Medicago truncatula: one gene and its partners. The protein of the gene in region 1 binds, or shares a complex with, the protein of each later gene. Links are inferred from orthologs where the notes say so. Each region holds a gene or a part of one and is shown in the gene's direction. Other genes may lie near its edges. The genes, in order: mitotic checkpoint serine/threonine-protein kinase BUB1, mitotic spindle checkpoint protein MAD2, mitotic spindle checkpoint protein MAD1 and mitotic spindle checkpoint protein BUBR1.

Region 1 (6,988 bases):
CAAAGTTTTTGGTGTTCAAGAACTCTTGAATCCTTGACACCTCCCTCTAGGTGTCACTGTAATAGTGTAATAGTTAAATCTGTATTCTTTGATGTAAATTTTTCAAAATTGCAGGTAATGCATCTGTATAAACTATTTGTGATACCAATTCAACATTAATATTGGTAAATTAAGATTATGAACTGTTTGAGGAATAACTGAGGAATAACTCATGAAGACTCTGAGTTAGTCCATATAAGTTTATGATACTTTAAAATTATGAATTCTTTTGGTCAAAAAATTCCAAGAAAATGAAATTCATGCCAAAAGAAATGAAGTTGATGATGCTCAAGAAAATGCTCCAACCACCCTACTGCTACTTATTTGAAAAGCTTTAGGACTTTTCTAGTGAGCGAAGAGAAGAATAGCAGAAAATTAAATCGAAACTGTAACAAACTTTTGAGATACACAGTAAACTTTCCAGTATTATTGAACTACAATTTGTTAAATTCCATATGTACATAACTGAAACGAAATTTATATAGTTCTTACTATTTTATTTCACTATTTTCAGCAAAGTTTTTTTTTCCTATTTACATACAGAAAACTATCTACAATGCTCTCTCCTTCCCCCTCTAAACCAGAATCTGAAGCTACGTAAAAAGGATAAAAATTAATCATTACGTGAAAAACCATTAAGCTCATTTTTAGTTGAGTAATTGGATTCAAGCCATGTCAAAGATTCACGCCCTTGCTGTACTTGTCATTGCAGCATCCTTTAAATCATAAAGTATAACAAGATGTTGTAATTTATCAACTATGTAATGAACTAAACTAACTAAGCATTTGCACGTCATTAAACTGCATTAAAAATAAAATAAATAGTGCTCTGTGTCAAAAAATCAATATAAAAAAAATACATGATACTATAACCACCAGCTATATGTAAAAGATTTGTGTGAGTAACATTTATCAAACTTAAAAGGATATCAGAATTTGCTATAACATTGCACTATTTTACTTTTAGCTGTGTCCCAAAATAATTAATCAAGAGTACAACAAAATACGTTAAATTAATACAAAAATAACTACGATAGAAAATAGACAAACAAACCAACAAAAAATTGATTCAAGTGATAAGAGACTTGAGCTCCTTAAGCATGTAATCAGGGTTCGATTTCTAACTTATGTATATAAAAAAAATTGATTGAAATGGGAGAATCCACCTTATGTGTTCCATTTCTGCTAAGGTGAAAACTTCGTACTAATATAATGGTAACAAAAAAAGAATAGACAAACACATACTACACGGGAGTGGTTATGGTGCATAAGGAAATCCTTATGCACCGTGCATAAATCCCATTTGAAATATAATTGCTTCCATACACCTCCAAGCGAAACCAAACGAAACAACACTACAACCGTGAAAATCATCATTTTAGTTCAATAATGATTTCATAGTGATGATTTGGTTCAATGACAGTCACAAATGTCCTTATTATAGTAAGTTTTGTATAAAATTATGTCAAAACCATTTTGCTGTGGAAATGGTTTCTGTGAGTTGTACTCTAAAACCATTAGATGTACTTAATGGTTTCCGACAGTTGAAAAAAAACTAAGGACCTAGAGCCATTGCAATCATTCAGTTTTGGACTGACACAATTGGAGGAGGAGGAAAGAAATGGTTTCTGTGAGTTGTACTCTAAAAACAAAACCATTTTGTTGTGGGAATGATGTCCAGAAATTTTTGTTGTGGAAATGGTTTCTGTGTGTTGTACTCCAAAACCATTTTGCTATGGGAATGATGTCCAGAAATTTTTGCTGTGGGAATGGTTTTAGCAATTTATTTTTTGAGCTTTCACTACAAATTCATCAAACACTTTTCCAGCAAACAATCATGAATCATAACACACTACAAATTTCGAATTCTTCTTTTCTCTTCTATCAATTTCGAATTCTTCTCTTCTATCAATTTCGAATTCTTCTCTTCCATGTCTTTTTATTTTTCGAATCTTTGAAGTTAGATCTAGGCATATGTGTTTGCTTTTCGAAAATTTTAAAGGTGGATTTGAGTTTAAAAAGAAAATGGATGTCGGATTCTTGATTTTTTTTTTTTTTGAAAACGGAGGTTTTTGCTATCTCCGGCGCGACGCCGCCGTCCTGTTGGGCCGGCAGCCACCGCGCCAGCGCTTGAAGAGGAGGTCGGAGAAGAAACTCTTTTGCATAGCATCTCTCTCTAAGTTTCAGATTAGAGAGAGAAAGAGTGTTGGTTTATGACTTTTTTTTGTTTGAAGTTGTTTTTATACTGCCTTTTCTTATGTAAATCCAATGGTTGTGAAGTGTTTATGCACGGTGCATAAGGAAATGACTTATGAACCATAACTTTTCCCATCGTACACTATTAACTAGCAAAAAGCATAAAATATGTGAATTGATTATGACGAAAACTAAGTTGAATGTATTGTAAAGTGATTTGTGGTTTGATACATTTATGTGTAAAAATAAATTATATAATCAAAAGCTACAGATCATAGCTTCAATTAGAATCAATTCAAAGCACAAAATCAATTATACTGAAAAACAACCAAATACGTCTAAATCAATTAGATAATTTAACTATAAATTTGTGTGTAAAAATCAATTATATAATCAAAAGCTACAAATCACAGCTTCAAGTAGAATCAATTCTAAAGATAAAATCAATTATACTAAAAAAACAACCAACTACATCTGAATCAATTATACAACAATGTAACCAAACATACACTTAATTATTTATCACTACATAGTCCCAATTTTTCAAAAAATTCCCACCACTAAATGTATATGCAAATTAAATTAGAGTAAATAGTAAATTTCCCCCCTGAAATTGTAAGTTTCATCAATTACCCCCCTGAAATTAACAAAACTTCAATTAGCCCCTGAAATTTCACAACATTAGTCAATTTACCCCCTCCGTCAAATTTTTCTGTTAGTGAACATGACGTTTTGCAAATACCCCCCTGAAGTTTTGCACTTATGTGCAAAATGCCCCCCAAACTTAAAAATTTATATTATTTTTTTCTTAAAAATAAACAATTTATAGTTAAATATTAAAGCTAACTATTAATTTTGGAGTTTGGAAAAACTACATACATATATACTTCAAAATAGGGAAAAATGTGTATTTTTAAAGTGACAATAATGATTATTTCTAATAGACAAATTATTATTTTTAGAGGTTTATAAACAAATTAATAATCAGATTTAAATTTATAATTTCTCCTTCACCATCTTAGTCTTTTAACTCCTCCAACTCCTTAAACAATTTGCTCAAACTATTTAAACTACACAACCCCCAATATTAATCCACAAATCATCCCATTATTGTCACTTTAAAAAATACATATTTTTCCCCATTTTGGAGCCTATTTTGATGTATATATGCATGTAGTTTTCCCAAATTCCAAAATTAATAGTTAGTTTTAATATTTAACTATTAATTGTTTGTTTTTAAGAAAAAAATAATATAAATTTTTAAGTTTGGGGATTTTGCACATAAGTGCAAAACTTCAGGGGGTATTTGCAAAACGTCATGTTCACTAACAGAAAAATTTGACGGAGGGGGTAAATTGACTAATGTTGTGAAATTTCAGAGGGATAATTGAAGTTTTGTTAATTTCAGGGGGGGTAATTGATAAAATTTACAATTTCAGGGGGGAAATTGACTATTTACTCAATTAAATTGATTCGTAAGATATTGTTAAATCTATTTTGATCCCTTGCACCTCAATTTAATCTTGACAAAAAATAATACATAATTAGTCATTGACATTTTTATACATTAATGACTAAATTGGAATGCAAGAAAATTTGTGAAGGAACAAACTGAATCTCCAGGTGAAAAATATTTCAGAAAAATTCCAAATTCAATCAAAATAAAATATAAAAAATTAACTATTTGAACTCAAATGTAATTGATTAATGATTAATGAGTTTGGTCTAACAATTATTTGAATTTTCGAAAAGAACAAAGAAGAAAAAAAAGGATAAATTCAAATTGGTGGAAGTACCGCGCTTGGTTCATTACTGAAACTCAACAACTCAATGGCCACCACGCTCCTCCGCAACTCCCCCACTTTCACAACAGCCATTGACGATCCTCTCTTACCCTTTCTCCGGTTCTACTCTCTCTCTTCTCTATTTCCATTTTCCTCACATACTCGCACAATTTTTTACATTTTCACCAATTTTCTGCATTTTGTGAATGAATTCAGGTCAATCAAAAAAGCTCTAGAAGATTCCACCACTTCCTCCACTCAAAATCTCAGCAAGTTACTCAGAGATTGCATCAATAAATTCAAGAACAATCACAGCTACCGAAATGATCCCAGATTTCTCAAGATCTGGTTCCTATATGTAATAATATTTCAACTCTTTCTACCCAAAATTTCAATTAACATGCTTCCTTGCTTCCTTTATAGTAGTAGCATTTTCGTTTTACCATATCACTCCATTTTTTTTTAGTGTGGTTTCTCATTGAATTTCAGTGTAAAAATGTTTTACACTAACATGATATGTTCACCAAACTCATGGTAATTACTGTTATTTTGTCAATTAAACTATCATTTTTAAGATTTAGTTTGTATAAAACTTTTTCACACATTCATCCAGTCATGCTATTTTTATTAGGTTAGTGCCTAAAATGTATCTACAAATAACTATTTCTATTTGGTGTGTTATAATTTTATGCATGTGTAAAGATAATTTACACAGTCAGTGCATAGAAATTAATCTCATACATTATCTACTTTAATAATAAGAGAGACATATAGGGAGTAGTATATTAAAGAGACAAAAGATTTAGAAGGAAAATAAATTGAGATGTATAATTGGCCCATAAAAATGGAAGAGTAACAACTAGCTATTGTATGCAAACAACAAACTGCTATATTGTTTGAACGGTTTGCCAGCTTGGACTTGATGAGCACATGCTGCTTTGAGGAACCTTGAAATTGAAAGGTTCTCAACTTGGTTTTGTTGGTTTCTTTATGCAGATGGATGTTAGTGCTGATTTTGACAGTGTCTTCAAAGGAATGCTGAATAGTAATATATGTGCCAACGATGCTTCACTTTATGTGTATTCTGCATGTTTTTTTGAAGCAAAGGGTAGATTGCTCGATGCCGACACCATCTACAAGCTCGGCATTTCCAAGTTAGTGTTTTGGATAAGAATTTGTAACCTGCTTTTGATATTGCAAATTGTAGCATAATGATTTGTTGGGAAAATGACTTTAAATTTCTAAAGCTCCAAATGCAGTGTCTCCTATAATTGCTATGGTATTGGTTAGAATTCATTCTTGACTTGTGGGAAACACACCAATCTCACAATTTATCTTTTGAAAAAGGAGTTAATGAGTTTCATTTTTCAAAGTTATTTGAAACGGGAGAACAATTAATTAGCATTTATCAGTTTGTGGAAGAAGTCACACCTCACCACAATGTAAACTAGTTTCATTAAACACCGAGGCTTTCCAAATCCATGAGAAGTGAGTGAATCTTCAAACAGAGTGATTGCTTGAATAGTGAGTGTTTCTTGTTGGTGAGTATATACTATTTGTAGTAGATCTTGAGTGGGGTATTTTGGTGATACACATCTTGGATGGGTTTATTCAAATTTCATAAACTTGTATACTTATTAGGATTCCGAACCTGTGCAACTCACAGGGAGAAGTTGCGCAATGAGAAAACCATTGTTTGCGCTATTAGCAACTTCTAAACACTGGGAGGATAGTAAAAATAGAATTTATATGATAATTTTGTGGTACATTTGTCAGAATATTCGGTACAATATCTGAACTTAAACACCTATCCCATCAACAAGATCCTTGCCCATCAATTGAACCAGTACAGTCTTTTAATCAAATTTAATAAGCCAAATTTATTAGTTTCCCAGATACATCTACTTCATTACGATCTTTATGATGCAAAATGAGCCAAGACTCTTTAGGAATTTACGAAGTCAGTTGAACTGATCATCCAACATTAGCAATTCTTTGAAAATAAAAACATTCCCATACATTCAGAATTAACCAAAGCTTTATGTCAAGAAATTGTGAACTTGATCCTGCAAATTATACTGTTGATAAGCCAATTACAGGATTGAAGAGTAACAAACTTGCATCCTTAGGCTGTGAATAAATACTACTTCATTTAGGCACCGATTTGCAAATTCGAATCATAAATACAATTATTTTGAGATGGTTGGTTTACATAGACGTGGCCTGAAGGTGACAAAGACTCCATTTTTTCGTGGTGTTTTATATCTGTTTTATTCTGATTTGTTGGTGTGAGATTTTTTGCATTAGGATTGTAATTCTAATTTTATGTTTGGTCCATGTTTGACAGAAATGCAGAGCCAATTAAATGGTTGGAGAAGGCACATACCTTATTTCTCAGTAGAGTTTCTGAAATATGCAATGTTGCTTCAAGCCAGAAGGTATGAAATTATATTGAAAAGGTGAACAATCCCATAGTTAAAAATTGAGCCAACCTTTATATATCACTATTCTTTATGGTCTCTGCCACTTGTCTCCTCAACCCTGTTTCAGTTCAATTTTTTAGATTTCTAAATATCAATTTAAGAATTCTTATGTAACTTATAATTTCAGGTTGATTATAAAGAATCTGCTACGTTGGAAAATAATGACATTAATCCATGGGATGCCTCTACTCTGAATGACCTTTTGAAGAAGATAAATCCTTTAATTACGAAATTTGACGTGAGACATTTTGATCCTTTGTTACATGCTTAAACTTAATACATTTGACAAAGATCATGTTCCCTTACATGTCTTTAAATACATTTCAGGGGTACCATTCGAGCACTAAATCTTATACAGGAAAAATTGCCTTATCCACTTTGAAGAATGCATCAAGGAATAAAGTTATAGAGATAGGTAGATGTCTGAACATGATCTCAAGTATTGATCATATTTATCTTATATTTGTAGTTGTCTGACTGTTTTTC
Region 2 (6,947 bases), on another chromosome or scaffold:
TAGACCAACATATAAGTGCTACACAATACAATTAGGTAGTATCCCTTTTTTTTTTTTAATGTGGGTGGTTTACTTTCTCATTTCTATGATCATACCACTGTATAACCTCTATGACACCATACACCATACAACTTCTAAAACCATTTAAAAAAAAAACAGGGGTAAATAAAAGTAGACCAAAAACTCCATACTCCATCACAGCCAGAACCAAGCCCCTTCCACCTCAAAATCACAGCAAACACCTTTTACAGCAACATAACTATGCCAAACAATAGATATCCATTTTCATACTCAAATGGAAATTAACAATGTAGCATCTGATGCAATTCTGGTTTAGGCAGCTATTAGCAACTTTTATAGTTTCTAGAGGGATGAATTTTGGTGCGTTTTTGTGTTACTTTGGTGGCCTCTCTGTTGTGTGGCTGAGGGCTAGTTTTTCTGCAGGATTTGTGCTGATTTTCTGTTCAGTGGTAGCAATTTTGGTCGACAGTTTTCGTGTTTTGTTTCTGGTGTGTTTTGGCTGGTGCCTCGGTTCATCTTAGCACTTCTGAAACAAGGATTATAAGAGGGAAGGATTCCTTGTTTTAGCAGCCAATCATCAGTTTGTTGCACAAATATGAAATATTTATACAAAGGAGTTTGCTAATTAGACCAATCTAAAAACATGAAGTCTAAGTAGGCAAGTGTGTACCTTTTTATTTGTTATGAATGTCTCAAATACTTTAACTCACTTTTGTTATAAACACATTTATGTCTCAAATAGACAATTACAAACATTAAACAATAGTTTTTTGTCTAAGTTACCAAACCCCTTTAAAAAATACAAAGTAAAATTATCAACAAATGTGAGGTACAATAATCATAAAAAACTACTAACCAGAACCAGTCTTATGACCTAGTTGTTCATCATGATGGATTGGAATTGGAAGTCTGATTCGATAATGCCTCATGTAGTAGTTGAATCCCAAAATTAAATACATATGCCCTTTAAGGACCTCATTCACCATTTGTTTGAATTCTTGAACTGGAAGTCTGACTCGATGATGATCATTCATGCATCTCTTGAAATCATCTATGTCTTTTACAAACTTATCATATTCTTCCCTTTTGCGCCGTGAAACACGCCTTTTACTTCATGGAGAAACCCAATTCCAGATTTTAGAACTGGAAGTGCGATTCCATGTTCGTTTGCCATGGAAACTGCTTAGTAAACAACGATAAGAAACCGATCCTAAATTCAGATCGGAAGCTTTTGTGTGATGTTGTTCTACTTGCTAATTAACTTTTTTTTGTCGGGTAGCCTATCGAGCGCGGAGAAATTCAACTTAAACTTAAAGTGGATAAGTGGCGTGTTCGGGGTTCGAACCCCGACCCCTGCATGTATTATGCATTATCCCTTACCAAGTGAGTTAAGTTCACAGGGACATTTGCTAATTATCTTTTTAATTTCGTGAAATATTTGAATTAGTTTTTAAGTTTAAAATAAGTTTTTCCATTGAAAAAAATATATTTTTTAAGTTTTAAATAGATTCTTTAAATTGTTAATTTAATAGGTTTAAGGGTTTAATTGAAATTATAAAAAATTCAGCCTAAAATCTCTATCATCTTCATATATATTAATGATAATATTGTTTTTTTTGTGGTGTTCGAGTTTCGAACCTCGGATCTTGTATATATTATGCATTGTTCTTACCAACTGAGCTAAGTTCATGTGACTCATAATATTGTTTCTATTACAGTGAGATGATTCCTTAGTTTAATGTGCTTTAATTTTTTTAATTAAAATTTAAAATAATATTATTAAATGATAAAATAGTTTAAATGAAAGGTAAGATAAATAATGAAAAAAGTCAGCTCAAACTCGTGTATTTGTTTTTGAAGGATCAAACTCGTGTATTTAAAAGGTCTTTTCTTTATTTTTATTTTTTTGAAGGAAAAAAGTCTTTTCTTTATATATAGTATAAATATATAAAGTGAATAGTGAATTTTGGGTTGCGTTTTTTTATTTCAATCATACCCTTAAATAATTTTTCCTATAATAATGTTATATTGTTGGCGTTATTATAAATGATAAGAATTTTTAATATATGTTATATTATTTTTGTTATTGAAAAAGATAAATATGATTTATTGAGTTTGTTACATATTGTTGATAATCTACATGTGTTAGTGCATTCAAAAAAGCGAAAAAACAGATGCATAAGTGTTGTCTTTTCGCTAATATAGTACAGATAAAGTATGGTTGTTCTTATTATAACAACTAACACGTGTCCGTCTTTTCGCACTTTTTATCGCGGTAATGCGTGTAAACTATTAACAATATTTTATATGAAATTTTAATTTTGTTTAAAGTTATAAGTACAAATTGTAACAAACCCAGCAAATCATGTTTATCTTTTACAGTGACAATAATAATTTAACAAATATTATACATATTTTTAATAACACTGACAATATAACATTTATTAAAACAAACAATATAACTTTTAATACAAGAAAATTTATTTAAGGGTACAGTTGAAATAATAAAATAGTTAGACTAAAATCCATATCCCCTTTATATATAATATAGATATTGTTCATATTGTGATGTAATATTCCTATTTCGATGGAATCTAATTTTTTAAATTAAATTTTTAATAATATTATTAAAGAATAAAATAGTAAATAAAATAGTATAAATGAAGGGTAAAATAGGTAAGAAAAAAACATCTTGGATCCATGTTCGTACCTGATCAGAAGGTGACTACCGACGCGGCGTTTTTCGGTGGTTAATGGCAACCGTTGCAACTAGAACGGCTAGGGGTGTATACTTGCGGACACTCCGACATTCATGTCATAATTAAACGAGAATGGGGGCTAAGAGCCTAAAAAGAATCTAACATTTGAGACTGCTAGGAGTCCCCTTTATATATCATGGAGGTGCAAGTCCCGTAAGTAGGACACACGTGGGGTTTGACAGTTACAGGTTCGTGGGAATCGTAACCGTAAGAGATAGATTTACAGCCACGTTTAAGAGATGTTGCCAGTCGTTTGAACTAGTCTCTTGTGTGCTACGAGCACCTCCCTCGTTAAGAGGGGTGTGTTTCGAGTAAGTAGCCCAAACGCTGGATTTGGGTATGTTGATATTGGGTCTAAGTAAATAGGTCTTTTAGAGCATTTGTTTGGTCAACAGTATAGAAGATATACACGATATTGTTTTTTTTAAGAAGCTAACTAATATACACGATATTGTTTGTTACACTTTTTAAGAGTTTTTCTAGTTGCACCCTAGTTAATCATGGTTGCACCCCAAAATGACAAGATTACCCTTTCATAAAATTTGATTTTCAAAAAGCCTATTCCTTCTTTTTTGGTTACACCCCAAAACCATTCTTCCAAAACCATAATTCTCCAATCGATCGATTGTGTTCTGCGAAGATTTTCAAAACCATACTTTCTCACGTCCATTCATGATTTCAAAGAAAATTCGAAGCAAATCAGGTTAGCAAGTGTTGTTCTTCAATCGATTGTGTTTTTCTTTTTATGGGTTCTCAGTTCTGATTTTGTGTTTTCCTTGTTCTGCGATTCGCTTCGCAGTTCTGCGATTTTGTAAACTCAGTTTAAGTAGGTTCATGTAAACTCAGTTTAAGTAGGTTCATGTTAACTCAATCTAAGTAGGTTCATGTAAACTCAGTTTAAGTAGGTTCATGTAAACTAAGTTTACATGAACCTACTTAAACTGAATTTAAGTTAACCTTGCCAATGTAAATTAAAACCGTAATCGTACAGTGCATCATTGCAGTTGAAGGAAAAAAATTGAAACTAGCAAATAGAAGAAGAAATTCACTTACTTATATCCAATTGAGTATGGATGAAAAATATTTTGATTCACTCTTTAATTTTCATGGAGATTGATATTGAACATCAAATTGTTTGATCGATCGCTTTGTGGGGTGAAAGAGGGTGAAACTCACTGACAATGAATAAAATTAGGGTTTTAAGAAAATTTATATAAAAGGGCAATTTTGATATTATAAAAATTTTTTAAGAAAATTTGGATGTAACCAAAAAAATATGGGGTGTAAATAGAAAAACTCCTTTTTAAAGGATAAAAGAAATAAAATATAAAATATGGACATATACTTCTATCGGATTTGTTACACTTTTTAAAATTTTAAATTCACTTTCACCCATTTACATATAAAATAAATAAAAGTTATTTTAATAGAAAGTCTACATTAATGTTTATATTTTAAAAATATTTGTGAATTTCCAATATTTTATCACATCGAATTTCTCATATATGTGCATAAAAAATTGTTTTCGCACATATAAATAAATAAAATCTACAATTGATGTGATTTAACTATTTAACAAGATTTTTGATATATAAGATAAAAATATTTAATAAAAATATTCTTTACGTGTAAACAACGACAATATTAATAATCAAAATATTTTTTTATAAGGGAATCACAAAAGGCGATTCTGAATCTTGACCGTTAAATAACCAAATTCAAAATAATCTTATGGATAAAAAATAAAATAAAATAAAAAACAAGAAAAAGCGCAATGAAAACAAAAAAGCAGAACTAGCCGTTAAGGCGCTTCCCCTACAAGTTTCTTTCCAACTCAAATCCCTATTTTATTATCCTCTTTTCTCTCATTTTTGATTCAGTTCATTCTTCTACTCTTCCAATTCCAACTACCAAAATTTCGCTCTCATTTCACTTGATCATGGCATCAAAAACAGTTACCAAAGACATAATCACTCTTCGTGGTTCTGCAGCAATCGTTAGCGAGTTCTTCGGTAATATTATTATTATTCACATTTTTTTCATTTTTTCTACATTTTCGTATTTTCCACTGATTATTTTTATTTTCATTCATCAGGATATGCTGCTAACAGGTTTGATTCAGCATTTTGTTTAGCGTATATTCTAGTTATGTTATTTGAAATTTCGTGATATTATTGATTAACATGTGAACTTGTTCAGCATCCTTTACAATCGCGGTGTTTATCCAGAAGAAAGCTTTGTGAAGGTGAAGAAATATGGCCTTCCGATGTTGCTTACTGAAGATGAGGGTGTTAAGTCCTTTATAACCAATTTAACTGCTCAGCTTTCTGGTAACTAACAACCCTAACCCTACTTTGTTTCTTTCTATTATTATTGTTGTTGTTGTTGTTACTGTTGTTGTTGTTGTTCTATGGTTCTCTATTTAGTCATGTGCAGAGATTGAAACAGATTTATTGTTGTGACAAATGACCTTTGTAGCACCTCTGTAGCACCGACACTTCTGATCGAAGACGAGTTTCCACGTTAACACGACGCCGACACATGCGATACATAAAATTAATTCTTTTTTTTAAATTACTTTTGATGTTGACATGTTAGTGTTGTGTATGGTGTGTCCGTGCTTCATTACTTATGATTTATGAAAAATTGGGAATCTTAAATATGAATAGATGTTAAGATTACTGTTTACCATTCATTTCCTTATTCTTCTTGGGGATTTCAATACCTATTAAAATTTGAGAATCAGCGGTTGTTTTGTGATTTTATCATGGACCATTGCTGATTATCAAACTGTTTGAATATTGAAAAGAATGGCTTGAAGCTGGCAAGTTACAGAGGATTGTCCTTGTTATAATGAGCAAGTCCACTGGTGAAGTCCTTGAAAGGTGGAATTTCAGCATTGAGACTGATAACGAGGTTGTCGAGAAGGGCGAGTCAAGGGAGAAGAGTGACAAGGAAATCATGAGAGAGATACAGGCAATTATGAGGCAGATAGCTTCAAGTATCACCTATTTGCCATGCTTGGATGAACCTTGTATGCTGCCACTATTTGATTCTTTTTTATGTTTTTTCTTTCTTAATCTTCATTTTATATTGTTTTATCTCCTAGTTGAATTTGGCTATTTGTTTCAGGTGTGTTTGATGTGTTAGCATATACTAACACAGATGTGGAAGTTCCATTCACTTGGACTGAGAGTGATCCAAAGCTGATTGCTAATCCACAAATGGTGAAACTGCATTCCTTTGATACTAAGGTGCAATTTGGACTTAACCAATTTTGTTATTTATCGACAGACATGGTTTATCCTTTGGCTATAAGTAATACTTATTTTGGTTATGCAGATTCACAAGGTTGACACACTTGTATCATACAAGAACGACGAATGGGATGAGCAGTAAAGCTTAGCCGCCCGTGTCCTTTTCTTGTCATGTTGTTCTGTTTCTGTTATTTTTTCCAAATCAAGTGGATTGTGCCAGTTGTGAATTTTCTATTCACATGGTTAGATGTGTACTGATGTGGATGTCAGATGTATTATTCCTCGCTTTTTTATGTTTTCCTTTTGGCAAGGATATCAAAAAACTTCCCTAATCTTTTCAGAATTATGGTTGATTGTACTCAGTTTTATGAAATAGTGAATCATTCCTAGAATCATTCCTAGTATGTTAATTCAAATCTGGCTGTGGAAGCATATCCATGTACTCAGTTTTATGAAATAGTGAATCATTCCGAGTATGATAATTCAAATCTGGCGGTGGAAGCATCCATGATCTCAAGGAATTTCCTAATCCTTTCTTAATCATGGGTATTTGGAACTATCATTCTAGCATTTAAAGGAGATACATAAATTTATGAATAACTCTTGTCAAAAAATAAAATGAAATATTGAATCAAGAGTGAATATTTAATTTGGTCATTAAAATGTTATGAATTAGTGAATCTGTCTGTGTGAAAGTGTTAAAAGGAGATCATACAAAAAGCAAATCCTCCAAGAGCATGGTTTACAATTGAAACAAGAGTAAATGATAAATTTGACCATTAAACTATTACTCTCTCCTCCTATGTTCTTTTAAACAATCAAGTTAATCCCCAAACTATTAGTTTCTCTCCTATTTTGAAGATAACTGGGTGACAGATGAATCGAGAAGATTAAGAACTATCTATCATAA
Region 3 (7,779 bases), about 26 Mb from region 1:
ACTATCCTCCATCTGATCTACTCTCCTTACCTATAGATTTTGTAGAGACAAAGGAAGACTAGAAAAACTATCAGAGAAACTATTATGAAAGATTTGGAAATTAATTAGTTGGATCGAAATATGGTTTATGATAGAACATTATAGCGTAATTTAATCCATATAGCCAACCCCACTTAGTGCGAAAAGGCTTTGCTTGTTGTTGTTGTGATGGTAAAGAATCATTATGCTTACTTTGCAAGTTTGGAGAGGAGGCTTTGGGTATGAGGAAGGAAGTAAGGGAAGTTAAAGAAAGAATAGTCTCCCAACTTTAATATGGGGTTTATTTTTCTTCATAACACAAAATCCCCTCAAAATGGAGGAACTCAAAAATTATATTGAAGGAGGGTTTAGATAAATTCTTCAAATATAATCTGTTATTATAATATTATAAAAATTAAAAATATATTAATGATTAACATTCATCTATCATTCTCTACAATAACAATCTCTAAAAAAATCCGGAATATTTCTCTTCTTTTTTTTCCCCTACGCTCTTCCCCCCAAAGCCCTCCCTACCCTCCAAACTCACAAACAGAGTCGTAGTTGGTTTTGTCTCGTGATAGGAGTACTCCTTAATCATTAAAGCCAAGCTGGGAACTGTTGTGAGTGCCAGGATGTGTTGTTTTTGTTTGTGTTAAAGGTGGGAGTCTTAAATATAGTTAGACCTATATCCTAGTGATGACTATCGACTGATTACCTTAATGTAGTTTTAACTTCTCGTCTAATCAAAAGGTCTCATTTTAAATGCATTCACAAGAACAATCCTCCACTTTGCAGTCTCGATTAGAATTGAAGGCAAGGATGTAACCATTTGTTGGCTTAAGAACTTAAATGCTTTTAATATTTGAATTAAGCACAGTAGTGCATTTTGGCATAAGACGAGATAAGTTTGCATTCTTTCAATGGTTTTATAATTAGGTGTTTTGTTCTGTCATGATATTACCATTCATGCTACCAACTACTGTGATTCCAAAGCACTTGATAATGTGACATTTTTGCCTGTACAGGTGAAGCTTGTTATGAAACTCTTGCGTGATTCTGGTCCTTTCAAGGAAGGTGTCCTGTAGAAAGTATATACACACATTGGCAGGGTTTGAAATTTGTAAATATTATATATATGGTTTTTTAATTTTGCAATCACTGTATTTTGTTAGAAATGTATGTACAGTTGAATCAGTGGCCATTAAATAATAGTATTTGATACGTTTGGCTATTTGTTTCATCCTTTATGACAAAATTGGAGACGGGAGAGTAAGATAAAGATCATTCATTCATGCTCTATTTGATTCCATCGTGAACATAACTGGTACAGCTCCATTGTAATAATTATTATTAGGTCATAGGCAGAGCATGTGTATATTGGGAAAGGATCTTCTCAAGTTTTTCCTCTCAAGTTTGTCATGTGTTATTAATCTCACAATTAAATAGAAAAGGTAAGATGGATTTCTAATATAAACAATGAGAGTAAACAAGCTCAATGGTGAGATTACACATAAGAAACCTGAGAGAAAGAAAAAACAATATTTGAGAAAATCCATTGGCATACATATTGTTAGTTGAACGATTGACCAACCAACCATTGCCAAGGTTAATAGACTGGACATTGGCTGCAAAGTCAACTGTTTTGATTATTCGCATATTATTTTATTTTTTTAAAACAAAGTAAAAGGTTTAATAAAAAGATCTAAACCCGGCACAAAAAAAAAAATGCAGGGAGAAGATAAGAAGAACAGAAAACAACCAAGCTGTAAAATACAGCAGAAAGCTAATCACCATAACTCTCCTCCACAAAACAAAAGTGAAGACCCCAAACAAGGAATACATCAGATGGTTTTGCCTAAAGACACATCTTTGAAGCACTAAAAAACAATAGTCAAATGATAAATGAAGTACAAAGACACCCTCTTGTAAATTTAAAAGCATGTCCTGCAGACTTCAACCCACACAATGCGGAGACCCGACCTGATGCGAAACCTTAGTTATACACCAAAATACGGCTAAGTCAGACAGCAATCACACTATTTTGAATGCACATGAACCAGTTTGAATTAGAAACCACACCTGCCAACATAAAAACCTGCTACTAATCAACACAGCGACATAAATACATCTATTGCAAGTCAAAACTGAATTTTGGATTGTGCAACAATTCAAGCAGTGCAATGCAATGCAAACTGAACTGAGGCACGCCTTTGGATTCAAACACCAACGAAAGATATTATAATCTATACTATTCAACAACTTTATGCCAGCATTATACTAATTATACAGTAAAACTGAGCTTGTAGGTGATTTTCATTTAGAAAGGAGAACCGAAATGATAGTAGAAAACATGATCTTTACTTGCAATGGCAATCATTCTACGATAAGATGTACTAATAAATATGATTGAGGAGTTGATGATTAGCCTGACTCACACATGAGACTTCAAACGGAGAGAGAAGCACCATTATCTGCTGGAGTAAGATTGAGAATCATGGTGGCTGCCTTGAGAGCCCTGATGAATGAGATTGATTATTTGGAGTTATTAGTTAAGTTGAAGAAGAAAAGAGAAAAAGAAAAATGTGAATCAAGTAACAAACCATGATTCAGGGGATTGATAAAGAGAAGCGGAAGCACCAAAGCAAGAAGCAAGCATGTCAGTGTTGATGACACCAGGATTGAGTGCGACAACAGCCATTCCTTGTGGTAACTCTTTAGCTACAGACTTTGTGAGTCCTTCAATAGCCCATTTGGATGCACAGTAAGGAGCAACAAGTGCTGCACCCGATCTTCCCCAACCAGAAGACAAGTTAACTATAATACCTTCTCCTCCTCCATTGTTGATCATGAGAGGGATGAAATGTCTCAACACATTGGCAGTTCCTTTCAAGTTTGTATCCATCACCAAATCAAACTCTTGAGAAGGAACTTCCCACATCTTGTTGTTCTTGTTGATAGTACCTGCGCTGTTCACAATAACATCAGGTGGACCCCCCTTCATCTCCATAACAGTGCGAGCCATCTGTTGAACGCTGTCATTGGAGCTGACGTCAACATTGAGGAAGAGATGATTATGATTATTTGGAAGTAAAAGAGATTGAAGAGAATCAAGCTTATCCTGAGCACGAGAACAACCTATAATGGTGTGACCTCGATTCGCCAATTCAATAGCAAGAGCCCTACCAATTCCTTTGCTAACACCAGTAATCAACACACTTTTATTTCCTATTCCCTTTCCACCCATTCCGACGATGAGATGAAAATGGAGGGTGATTGCTGTTGCAGGGAGAAAAGGGGAAGAACGGAGTCGAATTACCCCTCTATTTCACGCCAAATCCATTCCTGTTCTATTTGTGTCAAAAATTGTGCCTATTTTTTTATTCTAGTATATTCGTAATATTATATTTTTAACTTCTATATGTTTTTACTAGGTTATATGTGTTTTTTATCCTTTAATATATAAGCGAGTTTATGTCGATTTATTTCTTCTTAATTTGTTCTTGTAATTTGAGATTCCTTTCGTTTTAGTCCATTTTTTGGACATGTCACTCATTTTTTGACTTAGCATCTTTTTTTCCGTAGGGGTGGACAATCGGTCGGATTTGGCCAAAAAAACTATATCGACAAAAACTGTGGTTAAAATATATCACTCATTTCCCAATGCTTTAGCACTCGGATTGAACAGGTCCTGGGTTGCACAGAGAGCGGGTTCCACAGTTGGGTTGGTTTAGTTGTTGGAAGAGAAGAACAAGGGGTTCCATATGTTGAGTTTGTATGTCTCATCATCCTGTATGACACAACTTGTGACATATGAAATGAACTAAGGTAGAAGGACTCTGAACCGATAAAAATGAAGGCTACCTTTACTTGTAATGTAACACCCTAACCTCAACTAGTATTTTCTAACTTAAAAATAAAATCAATATTTAAACATAAAAGGATGTCACACATTCTCATCGTTCAAAGTACTTCAATTTAATTAAAAATAGTGCAGCGGAAATGAGTTCAAATCATAGTCACAATATCTTAATATATATTTTTTTCTCCTTCTAGATTCTCATTAAAAAACTAAAATAAATACAATGATCTTTAAAGTTTTTTTTTTTTTACGGAATGATGATCTTTAAAGTTATTATTTTAAGAAAGTTATAATGAACCGTCTCACATGACCCATTTGTTATGGATTAAAATAAAAATGATCTTGACATTTGATAATTTAGAGATTCAATTAAAAAAATAGAATATAATTTGTGTTTGTTTATCATTATAAATCAAAATGACTTAAAAAAAAAAAAAAATTTAGTTTGTTTACATACAATTACATAAAATAGTCTTTATATTTTTTTTTTTACAAAATTACTTCAATCTTTTGACAATTATTTTATCTCTTCATTAAATATAATTTTTTTGTTACAAAAGACAAAAGATTAAAATATATTGAGATGTCAAATAATTAAAATGTGACATAATTGAGTTTTTCTTTTTCTTTTAGGTTTCATACATAGTTAGAGATGGAGAAGAGAAAGATTAGTAGTAGCTCACGGTCCTTCAAAAAACAATTAGTGGACTAACGTGACGGCGAAAATGAAAGTCATAAAAAAATACAAAAAGAGAAATAAATTGGCTTCGCCCGGGTTCGAACCGGAGACCTTCAGTGTGTTAGACTGACGTGATAACCAACTACACCACGAAACCACATGATGTTGATTGTGATTGCAAAACAATTATATTGTGAAAGGAGGTTGTGTATTTTTTCCTTTTCCTTCCGTTGAATAAAAGTTGCGCCTTGGGGTTTGGGGATTTCAATTCATTTGAAACGTAAGTGAGAAAGAAAGAATGATACTCCGTACTCCTCCGCCACCGAAGAGGCCACGTTCCGATGACGGCGATGGCGACGCACAGCTTGTTATCTATGAGGATCCGGCGCCAGCGGTGGAGGAACCCTCCGAGCACATGCTATGCACATATCAGTGTCGCCAAATGGTTTGTTTGTTTGTTTTCTCATTCTTCTTCAATTAACCTGTCTCTCATTATTATTATTCGAACGCAGGTTAAATCTGATTTTCTAGATGCCTTAAGTAAAGCAGAAAATCAAGTTCGTGATTATCAATCTCAATTCCAAACACTCAATCATAATTTCCAAAAACTCGGTATATTAATATCATCAATTAATTACTACTTTTCAATTTCAATTTCATTTCACCATCAACTTTGATTTGACATGACAGACACTGAGAGGAAGAAATCTGTGGAGCAATTGTTATACACTGAACAAGAACTTGCTGCTTCTAAAGGCCGTGAAAAGGCCCTCCAGGATCAACTCTTGAAGGAGGTTACTGATTCTCAAGATAGACTTAGAAAATATATTCAATTAAACACTGAACTTCAGGCTAAGCTCCAAAATGAGACAAACCTTCGCATACAAGCCGAGTCTCATGCCACTTCCACCCAAGAGAAAGCAACATCTTTAGAAGGGAAGCTAGGCAATCTTTCAGATACCATACAGAGGGAAAAAAAGAGACTTCACGATGATCATTCACAACTCAAAAAGGACTCCAACTTTTCTATTTCTAGAATCACCGCTAATGTAAGTTGTCAATGTTCAGACTAATGCTCGTTCATATCTATCAATCATTCTTTAACTTGTATATTTTTCTTGTTGTAGCTTGAACAAATGGAATGTAGAGCTAATAATGCCGAGAGAGAAGCAGAGATGCTTAAAGAGCAATTGGACCGTCTCAAGGACCAATTCAATGAGGTTTGCAATGTTCAATTTGATTTGCTTGCTTCCTGTCACTTTCATGTTTCTTTTTTTATTGGGTTACTTTCTTTGCTTTACATCATGAATCACGATTCCTATTTCCAGTGTTTGCACCAGAAGACTGAAGCTGAAAAGAAGCTAGCAACTTTTTCATCCCAGGAAGTTTCTTCTACATGGAGTGATGTTTTGGTTAAACAATTGCAACAGGAACTTCAACATTATGTAAGTTTGCTTTGTCTTTTATCTTGGGTCTCAGTGCCTCTTGATGTTTTGATTGTTTGTGTTAGGTTGCATACATCAATCATTTGATGTGTACACCAATTTCAGCTGCAATTCAAGTGACATGATCATAAATGGAGAGGACTAACTTTATTATATTATTTTTATTTTGTGTTAGGCACATTATTGTTTTATTAAATGTTCTGGATATATAAGATGAGGTTTGGGCAGGCTTGGCTCCTGAATCGTGTCTTTTTATTTTCTTAAATCTTTTGGGATTTTTTTTTGGATTAGTGCCAAAATATATGACTGCGTTTTTCTTCACATTTTATTGTCTCTTTTTTATTTAAATTTTAGTAAATATAATTAAATTTGACACCTGATATTTGGAATACCATAAAGATACCATTGCTTTGTTTTCACTTTATCAAAATGTTCTTCTTCTTTTTCTTTTAGGGGTGTGCTTTCATATTATTCCCCTTGTTTGTACCCTTCTCTTTGCTGGTGTTTTGACAAGTTTATAACACGCTGTTGTTTAGAACGTGCACGTTTTACCAAAGTATTGTCGTGAAGGAGCTTGATATCAATTGGGCTGGTCTTTTTACTTGGTATTTTTCTAAAACTACATGCTTGGGATATAAGTTAAATTCATCCATGGACCTAGAGATAAAATAGGCCTGAATGTTGCATCTATTATATCCATAGCCATGTTGTGATGGAGTTCGGTATAAATTGGGCTGATGTGTTTACTTAGCATGTTTCTATTATTATGAGTTTTGGCCAAACGTAAAATTCACTTTTGGACTTGGAAACACATTTTCTACGAGTGCTGCATCTAGTACAAACCAAAAAACCCGAGGAAATACCAGTGCGATCAAGCTTCTGTTCATGCATAATATGCGAAGGGTGTGTGTTGAGTCTCATATTAGATTGTGTTATGGCTTGAATAGCAATTACTATCTCCGTCCCTAATTATAGGGCCCTTTTGAAAAAATAACGGGAATTAAGATAGTGGATATTTGTATTAAATATGTTTGTAATTACTATTGTTTTTACAATTTTATCCTTTAAGAGAGAGAGTTGGATTATGTTTTCAACATGTTATTTATTGTTGATTGAAGAAAAAAAATGTATTATAAATAAGGGCATGTATGTAAAGAAATAATTAATGTAGTTGGAAATAGCAAAGGAGTCTTATAAAAAGAGACAAAAAAAATTCTCAAAAGGGTCTTATAATTAGGGACGGAGGTAGTATTTGTTTAGGGCAACCCCTCACCGTCCAAGTCAATTTTGTAGGATTAAATTAGGCTAACTTTCATTTTTTTTTAGGGGAGGGGTGTCAATACATGGACTTCGTTTTAACTTTGAATTATAACCAGATGCATTCTCATCATAAACTTTTTTTGTACCTGTGGTAATCTGAGTAATGTATCCAGTTAACTTTGCAATTTTAGGAATCTGAAGTAAGGGAAGCACGAAAACTAAGATCAAATCACGAGAACATTGAGCTTTTGAAGGAAAAACTGCTGGAGGAAAAGAGCCGTCGGGAAAGGGCACAATCTGAGCTATCTAAACTACAGGATGTCCAGTCAAATATGAAAAAGTTAGAGGATCAAATATCATCATGGAGATTGATGATTAAAGACATACCTGGCATCTCATGTTTTGAGGACATGCCTTCTAAATTTGCAGCTTTACAGAAGTACGTTGGTAGCTAATTGAAGTTTTGTTTGCTTCGCTGTTTTAATAGATTTGAGCTGTTGAAACCACTGTCTGGA
Region 4 (8,004 bases), on another chromosome or scaffold:
GATCTTCAAGTGGGCAGAAGACCATATAAGATTTGAAGAGGTAAAGATGAAATCTTATGGGACTACATAGTGTAATTGGATGCAAAATCTTGTTGGGATTTTTTCTCAAGAAAATTGAAGATGCTACCTGTTTCTCAAGAAAACAAAAATATAAGGCGGTTTTTTGCTTGACAAAGCATATGAGCTGCAAGGTTATTTCTTGAAATCCAAGACAAGCAAAGTGATTGCTTCACTTGTTTACCTATAGGTCTTATAGTTCACAAGGTTGTTTCTTAGAGTACAAGACAAAATAGGGTTTACTAAAAGAGAATTCTTAGGAAATCAAAGGCTAATGATTGGTTCCTTTTGGGATAGAAACTAATATTGAGAAATACTTTGAAAACACCTTAGGGATATAGAATATGATTGGAATTAGGGTTTGTTCTAAAAAAATTTATTGAAGACTAATTTCTTGTAACTCATGTATCTCTTTGATAGTGAATTGAAGAGATCTCTCCTCCAAACGTAGGCCAATTTAGACCGAACTAAGTAAACAAATATCAACGTGTTCTTCTTATCCTTCTCGTTTATCTTATTTTATTGTTTATGATCACTTTAATTTTAGTTACTGCTAGTTTTGGTCCACACAACAAAGTATTGGTGTGAGTTTTGATCCAAATTCACAAATTATTCAAATTACAATCATTCACTTTGATAGTCTTTTATCAAGGTAAAATGAACACATATTTAAGAAAATGAAAGCATATAACGTTTTCACCAAGTAAACAAGCCCTTAACATGTCTCTTTTACTACCTATACTTTATATTCACTCTTGCTGATGATACAGTAAGGCTATGATCCTATGTCTATCTCCCATCCCAGTCTATTGACATTCATAACCTTTTCTTCCAATAATGCTTACCCTACTTTCAAATATTGTCCAATGCAATAATCCTTATCCTATTTTCACATATTGTATTTCTTTCCTTTTCTTATCTCCGATTCATTTGTGAATTGATAATTACCTTTTTTTCAATAGACATGATAATCACCAACTTGTTGTGGACTTTTAATTTTTGTAAAAATTAATCAACACGCAATGGTCAATAATATAGTTAAACAGGGGATACAGTGATATATTTTTAACGTTATTTGTAGCACATTGAATTCTATAATCCAACTGGAGTAAAACTAATATTTTTGAGAAAGACAGAATGTGAAGAAAAAAAAATTCTCATAATATATTTTCCAAATTGCTGTGACCGATTACACCAAATTCCACGAGCCCTATTGAGCGTGGATTATGTGGTTGCATATTTTATTTGGATTATGAAATTGGAAAAAATGTTGAGTGTTGAAGGATGTTTTTAACATATTTTTATACATTTTTGATTATACGATCCCAAATATTGGAAGGTGCGCGAAAAATTAGTCGAATGTGATAGGAATTGTCGAATAATTAATGATATAGATAGATTCCATAAACCCTAGTCACTTTGAGTGTACAAAGGCATTTTCGTCTTTCAATTTGTACACACCGGTCAATTTTGTCCTCAAATTTTTTGAAATAGCTAAAAGGTCTTTGAACTTTACAAAAGTCGATCAATTTCATCCCTCCGTCAAGTCTCACCGTTAATGGTGATGACGTGTGACGTTAAGTGCTGACGTGGATTGCCAACTCAGATGCCACATATTTAGGGATGAAAATGGTCGAAAATTATATTTTTTTGGACTTTTATTTAAATGAAAGTCATTACAAATTGTTACATTGTCAAATTGATCAATAAAAATTATTCACTAAAAATCAAGATGGTCCTTGAATTATGTCTCTCCCTATCAAATCAATCTCTGAATTATTTATCTTAACTATCAAATTGATCCCTATCAAATAAATGCTAAAAACTGAAAGAATGTGTTTAACTTTATTTATTACATTTTCATGTTTGAAATGAAATTTCATCCATGTTCAACGTATCCTCGAAGGTCTTCATGCAAAAGTGTTGAAAACCACTTCAAATTCTCTTTGTTTTCTACATCCACATTTATGATATTATAAACATAATTTTGCATATGAAAAATTCTCTTTGTGCTACCAAATCAAGAACCGCCCCTCAGCCACCATACTGGAGCTTCTCTAGAGCTCTCACATGTAAAGATTCACCTGTTCTTGACATTTTATGCATGTTTTATTTATGCTAGGTTGATGTCACTGCTAAAACTCTTATGCATAATGTTTCAAGATGGAAGGGCACATCCTTTACTAATGATGAAATAAATACTCTAAGTGAAGCAACTCTTGCATGTTAATCAACTTGTGATGAAATTTTAACATAAAATTTCTTAGAGTCCTCATTGACAGAAACTTTTGTTTCGTTATAGCCGAGGATCTGGCAGGATCAGTAGCATGGCTTGGTAGAGGTTTGTCTTGTGTCTGTGCGCAAATAAGAGATAGTGATGCTTCTAGCTTTTCTGAATTAACTCTTAAGCAATATTTTTATAATTTACTAAACTAGCTTTTAGTTTATGTTTTGAGTGTTTCTAATTCTGGTAATTATTACGCTCCATGCATCATCCAACAAAAACTAGAAGAAAACATAATTTTTTTGTAGCATGTTATATGGACTAAAAACTAGCTTTTAGTTTATGTTTAGAGTCTTGCTTAACTAGCTTTTAGTTTATGGCTTGAGACTTTAATGTGGATATTATAGGAGGCCTTTAAGGTATTATGGAAGGTTGCCTTTTCTAAAGAAGAACTCTATGGCTTGATATCAGAGCAGTGGAAGGAAATGAGTTGGCAAAGGTGGGAAGATTCATCAATAGATTTTTTTTAGATAGACATTGTCCTTTATCTTGTGTTCATCTTAATTAATTGTGTTAATGATTTTTATTGTCATGTGTTTGTTATTGGTATGTGCTTGTGCATGTAGAAAACAAAGAGAATTTGAAAGGGTTTTCAACACTTTTACATGAAGACCTTTAAGGATATATTGAATATGGATGAAACTTCATTTCAAACTTGAAAATGTAATTAATTATATTTAAACACATTCTTTCATTTTTTAGGATTTATTTGACTGTTTCAGGGATCAATTTGATAGTTAAGATAAATAATTCAGGGATCGATTTGATAGTGAGTGACATATATAATTCAAGGACAATCTTGATTTTAATGAATAATCCAGGGATTGATTTGACAATATAATAATTTGTAATTACTTTCATTTAAAAAAAAAGTGCAAAAAAAAGTTAATAATTTTCAATCAATTACGTCCCTAAATACGTGGCATCTGAGTTGGCAATCCATGTCAGCATTTAACGTCACACGTCATCACCGTTAACGGTGGTGAGACTTGACAAGGGACGAAATTGATCGACATTTGTAAAATTCAGGGATGTTTTAACTATTTCAAAAAATTTGATGACATAACTGATCCATATGTACAAATTGAAGGACGAAAATGCCTATTCACCCGATATCTTTGCTCTTTTTCGAAGGACCCCCCTAGCCACTTTGATGAGTCGTGATAGTTGTTAGATGTTTTGAACAGCTTGTATAAGTAGTGTCATGGTGAAGGACGTAAATTTCACAAACCAATAAATGTTCATGTTGTCGTCGTTGTTGTTTTTATTATTAGACTTGTGTTATTTCAACATCCATATATGTGACAACCAAAATTTTATAAAGGAAATGAGGTAGTGGACACAAAAACCAAAGCAATAGAAAGAGAAAGTAAAAAGATAATGTGAGTATGAGAGAGAAAGTTATCTCAAAAATTGTAAAAAATGATTGTTCAAATATCATTTCTCTTATTATTAGTAGTTGTAGTCTTTTTTACAAAAATTTAGATAATAGATATGTTTCAATTTTTTATTGTAGTAAACTATACTTTCTTACATAAGTAATAAATTATACTTATCAATTTCAATGTTAGAAAGAATATAACAAATTATGAAAACTATAATGAAAAGCACGGTGATTAGCTTTATACCACCAAAAGAAAAGAAGCTTAATGCTCTCCACAAGTTGAATTGGAGAATTTTCTATACCCCGAAAAAGTCTAACATTTCTTTTCTTCCAAATCATCCAAGAACTAGCAAACCAAATCAAATGCATGAAAGAATACATTGATTTAGCATAACATGAAGAAGTACCAAACTGATGAAAATGATCCACAATATTAGAATGATCTGCTGAATATACACAAATCCAATTCCTAACAAGCTGCCAAATATGACCAAAAAGATTAAAGTCAAAAATAAATGATTATGTGATTGGAGGAGACCATATCCAATAGCACACAACCAAAGCCATGTATAATAATCCCTCTTTACATACTAGACTATAGACTAACTTTGACATAAACAAATTTTACGGGGGACTATAGCAAAACAACAAGAATCAAAACAAAAAAAAGTTACATAGTTGCAAGCAAGGATTAACAAATTTTCTCAAATACTGAAAAAACAAACAAAAAATTTGTAGAGACAAAAAAAAAATATTCAAACCCTTATTTATTTAATCATTATTGAAAATTTTATAAATATTTTATAGACTAAATTACACCGAAAGTCCTTTAAGTTATTTAATTGTAACATATTGATTTTTTAAATTTTTTCGTACCACTTAAACCCTTTAAGTTAATTAATTGTAATAAGTTGGTTTTTAAGTTTTTTCCGTACCAATTAGATTTTTAAGTCATTTAACTGTAACAATTTAAGGATATAAAGTTTAGGAATTTCAGATCTTATAAAAGACCAATTTGTTATATTTTTTACGGATTATTTTATAATTTTTATCATTCCTATTTTTTTGGTGTTTTTTAATATTCCTATTTTTCCTTAAAAGATTTCCTATTTATTCTCCCCAAAAAGAATATTCCTATTTATTTTCATCATTGTTGACTCTCCAAAAAAAAAAACAATAGGAAAGTAAATTAATTAATTTGATTAATACAATATTATTCATTTTCCAATAAAGTAGCAACGGCTAGTATTAGCGTATATAAAAACACTTTCAAAATTCAAATCACAAATTCAACGCTCCCATAAGATTCCTTGGTAGTTGGAACACAAAGAAGAAGAAGCTTCAGCAACAACAACAATGGCGGAGATTGAAACGCAGAAGATAGATCCAGAGACAGAGTTTCTAGCATCGAAGAGAGAAACCGGAACCGAATGGGAAACCTTCAAAGAAAACGTGAGACCATTGAAACGAGGTCGTAATGTTAACATTCTCAATCACGCTCTCAAATGTCACACCGACAATTACCTCAAGAAATCTCTTATTCAACAACGAAGGTTCTTCTTTAATTATAAGGATTTCTAGATTTTCTTCGTTTTACTTTGTTTGATTTCATTTAATTGATGAGTTTTTGGTGTAACAGAAAACTTATTGAAGCCATTGATGATTACAAAGGCGAAGATCCTCTTCTCCCTTGGTTAGAGTGAGTGTTCATTCACTACTGTTATTAATTGTATCGCATCGTTACTAATTTAATGTTGTTATAATATTTTTAATTTTAGGGTTTATTTTAGGAGATTGGATTGATATGATTTTGAAGTTTTAGGACCTGATTGGATATTTAGTGTATATTTGATTATGCGGTGACAAAAATAGATTTTAGATGAATTGATTATGTGAAATTGATTTTACTTAAAAGCGAGTTGAATGTAGAATGGTCTATGTTTAGATAAATTCATGTAAAGTGAGTTGAACAATAAACTTTAGAGTAAAGATCATATTTAGACTCAAATGCTACAAATTCTAGCTTCAAGTTAGAATTAATTCTAGAGGCAAAGTCGAATCTACTCCAAAGCAACTAAACATGTCAAAATCAACTTTACACCTCCACAATCAATTATGGTTACTGCAAATGTGGAACCAGACATAGGCTTAGTTTCTCAATTTGTGTCAAGTATAAACACTTGTAAAGTGATTTTGAATGAATTTATTTTGTAAAATTTATTTTGGCTAAATATCATTTTGGCTGCTCCAAATGTGGAACCATACATAGGCTTAGGCTTAGGGTCTATGCTGACAAATAATGATTTTGAATGCAATGGCTGCTCCAAATATGGAACCAAACATAGGCTTTGGCTTAGGGTCTATGTTGACAAATAATGATTTTGTAAAATTGATTTTGGCTGAAATAAAATGAATTATGTTTGGTTATATTTGTGTGAAAAAGAGTTGAATGATTTAACCAAGCCTAAAAATCAATTCTAGAGGCAAAAACTGCAAATATTAGCTTTAAGTCTGAATCAATTCTGTAAAGGTAAAATGAATTATACTCGATAACAAACAAACACGACAAAATCAATTCTAAACCCTTAGAATCAATTTTACTTGCTTCAATACTGGAACAAAACATAGGTTTATAATAAAATAATAAATTGTGAATTTATTTTCTATTTTGTTATTGATGGTGAAGGTGTATGAAGTGGGTTCAAGAAGCGTTTCCTCCAGGTGGAGATAGCTCAGGGCTGGTGGTGATTTATGAGCAATGTGTTCGTGCTTTTTGGCATTCGGAACGGTATAAGGAAGATTTGCGATATCTCAAAGTGTGGCTTGAATATGTAGGGTTCTTAAATCTTTTGTTTTTTAATTTTTTACTTAATTATTTATTTAGTTGGTTGCTTTGATTTTGAGTGGTGGTTTGATAAGAAGAGATGTTGTTGTTGGTTGCAGGCAGAAAATTGCTTTGATAAGGAAGTTATATATTCTTTTTTGGATGCAAATGAAATTGGAAAAACTCATTCCGATTTCTACATTTCATATGCTTTGCACTTGGAATCCAAGAACAAGTTTAAAGCTGCTAACCAGACATTTGAACTTGGCATAAATAGGTACTGTGGTTTCTTATCTTATATCTTGGACCTTGTAATGAAATTCATATATTGTTTGATGTGTTAATTTGCTATATGCCATATTGTATACCAGTTGAATAACTCCAGGGAAAGTGTTAAATGCTTTTCACTTTTGCATTAATTATGGTTGCCAAAGGATATAATTGTTCAAGGTTTATGTCCATGTGGTTTCAATTTATACAAATTTGGAAAGGAAAATACGTGTGTGCATTTGTTATGGCCAAAATACTGAGCCTAAGTTCCATGAGATACCTTAGTTGACGAGTCATATAACTTTATAGAAGATCTAAATATTCTGTTTTGGTATGACTACCAATTTTGCAGGAATGCTCAACCCATTGAAAAACTGAAAGCTGCTTATAGAAAATTTCTTGTTCGCTCAATGTCAAGGACAAAACCTATAGATGTATGTGGTGTTCTCATTAGCACCTCTTCCAAAATTTTATAATATGATTATCTATGACTATGAGCTATCTACATTTGTTGTCTGACCCTCATATCTTCCGCTAACTAGGACCCAGTGGAAAAAGAGGCACCTGTGCGTAGCTTTGGAACTCTTCTTGCAAAGGGAGATAATGGTTAGTTCCACCCTTTTCAATTCTCTCCACATTACTTTTTGTCTCAATATTTTAAATTCTGAACATTTTTTCTGTGTTGTAGGTGCGCCCTTGGCTCCTTTGAGCAGTAATCGTTCTTCTAAGCCCTTGGCCCCTTTGAACAGTAACCTTTCTGTTAAGAATGATAGGTAACAATCCTAACAGTATTGTAGCTTTGGATTTATTTGGTTGGAATTGCCTTATTTCTTCCTCTTGTTTTTTGGATCCTTATTTCCATATATACTTCATTTTTCAAATCACCTGCACGCACTATGCACATAGTCTTGTAGAGAAATATATGAATAATGAGTTTCTAGGAACATATATAAAATGACCTTGGAATTGTCAAATTCCAATTTCATGCAATGTACCTCTAGGTTGGTTTTTATTGATATTTTCATTATTAAATCTTGTAGGACTCGAGCAGCTCCACTTTCCATTTATAAAGATTCAAATGCCAATGCTGAGACCTGTCCACCTCAGCCAGATCCGTCACACTCTTGGCTCAAACTTGGTGGTCGTGCCGAAAGAAACAAGGAAAACAATGCAATTCCTGCAAAA

What was found.
Region 2: mitotic checkpoint serine/threonine-protein kinase BUB1 (region 1) and mitotic spindle checkpoint protein MAD2 share a complex: the UniProt entries of both Arabidopsis thaliana proteins name them as parts of the mitotic checkpoint complex. The link is inferred for Medicago truncatula from reciprocal best matches to the Arabidopsis thaliana genes AT2G20635 and MAD2.
Region 3: mitotic checkpoint serine/threonine-protein kinase BUB1 (region 1) and mitotic spindle checkpoint protein MAD1 share a complex: the UniProt entries of both Arabidopsis thaliana proteins name them as parts of the mitotic checkpoint complex. The link is inferred for Medicago truncatula from reciprocal best matches to the Arabidopsis thaliana genes AT2G20635 and MAD1.
Region 4: mitotic checkpoint serine/threonine-protein kinase BUB1 (region 1) and mitotic spindle checkpoint protein BUBR1 share a complex: the UniProt entries of both Arabidopsis thaliana proteins name them as parts of the mitotic checkpoint complex. The link is inferred for Medicago truncatula from reciprocal best matches to the Arabidopsis thaliana genes AT2G20635 and BUBR1.

Annotation. Positions count from the first base shown.
Region 1 is NC_053045.1:38,309,344-38,316,331, reverse strand, and holds the start of mitotic checkpoint serine/threonine-protein kinase BUB1, read left to right. Parts: upstream 1-3,986; 5' UTR 3,987-4,065; coding exon 4,066-4,139; intron 4,140-4,235; coding exon 4,236-4,377; intron 4,378-5,015; coding exon 5,016-5,173; intron 5,174-6,366; coding exon 6,367-6,457; intron 6,458-6,629; coding exon 6,630-6,740; intron 6,741-6,829; coding exon 6,830-6,917; intron 6,918-6,988. UniProt on the Arabidopsis thaliana protein: Serine/threonine-protein kinase that performs 2 crucial functions during mitosis: it is essential for spindle-assembly checkpoint signaling and for correct chromosome alignment. Has a key role in the assembly of checkpoint proteins at the kinetochore.
Region 2 is NC_053044.1:42,315,273-42,322,219, forward strand, and holds mitotic spindle checkpoint protein MAD2, read left to right. Parts: upstream 1-4,573; 5' UTR 4,574-4,719; coding exon 4,720-4,792; intron 4,793-4,875; coding exon 4,876-4,891; intron 4,892-4,979; coding exon 4,980-5,110; intron 5,111-5,589; coding exon 5,590-5,814; intron 5,815-5,912; coding exon 5,913-6,034; intron 6,035-6,122; coding exon 6,123-6,179; 3' UTR 6,180-6,432; downstream 6,433-6,947. UniProt on the Arabidopsis thaliana protein: Required for the execution of the mitotic checkpoint which monitors the process of kinetochore-spindle attachment and delays the onset of anaphase when this process is not complete.
Region 3 is NC_053045.1:64,602,117-64,609,895, reverse strand, and holds the start of mitotic spindle checkpoint protein MAD1, read left to right. Parts: upstream 1-4,768; 5' UTR 4,769-4,857; coding exon 4,858-5,004; intron 5,005-5,071; coding exon 5,072-5,171; intron 5,172-5,249; coding exon 5,250-5,608; intron 5,609-5,686; coding exon 5,687-5,779; intron 5,780-5,887; coding exon 5,888-6,004; intron 6,005-7,455; coding exon 7,456-7,703; intron 7,704-7,779. Other genes in the region: uncharacterized protein, read left to right, coding at 1,047-1,106; NADPH-dependent pterin aldehyde reductase, read right to left, coding at 2,467-2,536, 2,622-3,265. UniProt on the Arabidopsis thaliana protein: Required for the execution of the mitotic checkpoint which monitors the process of kinetochore-spindle attachment and delays the onset of anaphase when this process is not complete.
Region 4 is NC_053042.1:12,600,759-12,608,762, reverse strand, and holds the start of mitotic spindle checkpoint protein BUBR1, read left to right. Parts: upstream 1-4,996; 5' UTR 4,997-5,081; coding exon 5,082-5,278; intron 5,279-5,364; coding exon 5,365-5,424; intron 5,425-6,411; coding exon 6,412-6,556; intron 6,557-6,668; coding exon 6,669-6,826; intron 6,827-7,171; coding exon 7,172-7,253; intron 7,254-7,361; coding exon 7,362-7,425; intron 7,426-7,507; coding exon 7,508-7,592; intron 7,593-7,859; coding exon 7,860-8,004. UniProt on the Arabidopsis thaliana protein: Essential component of the mitotic checkpoint. Required for normal mitosis progression. The mitotic checkpoint delays anaphase until all chromosomes are properly attached to the mitotic spindle.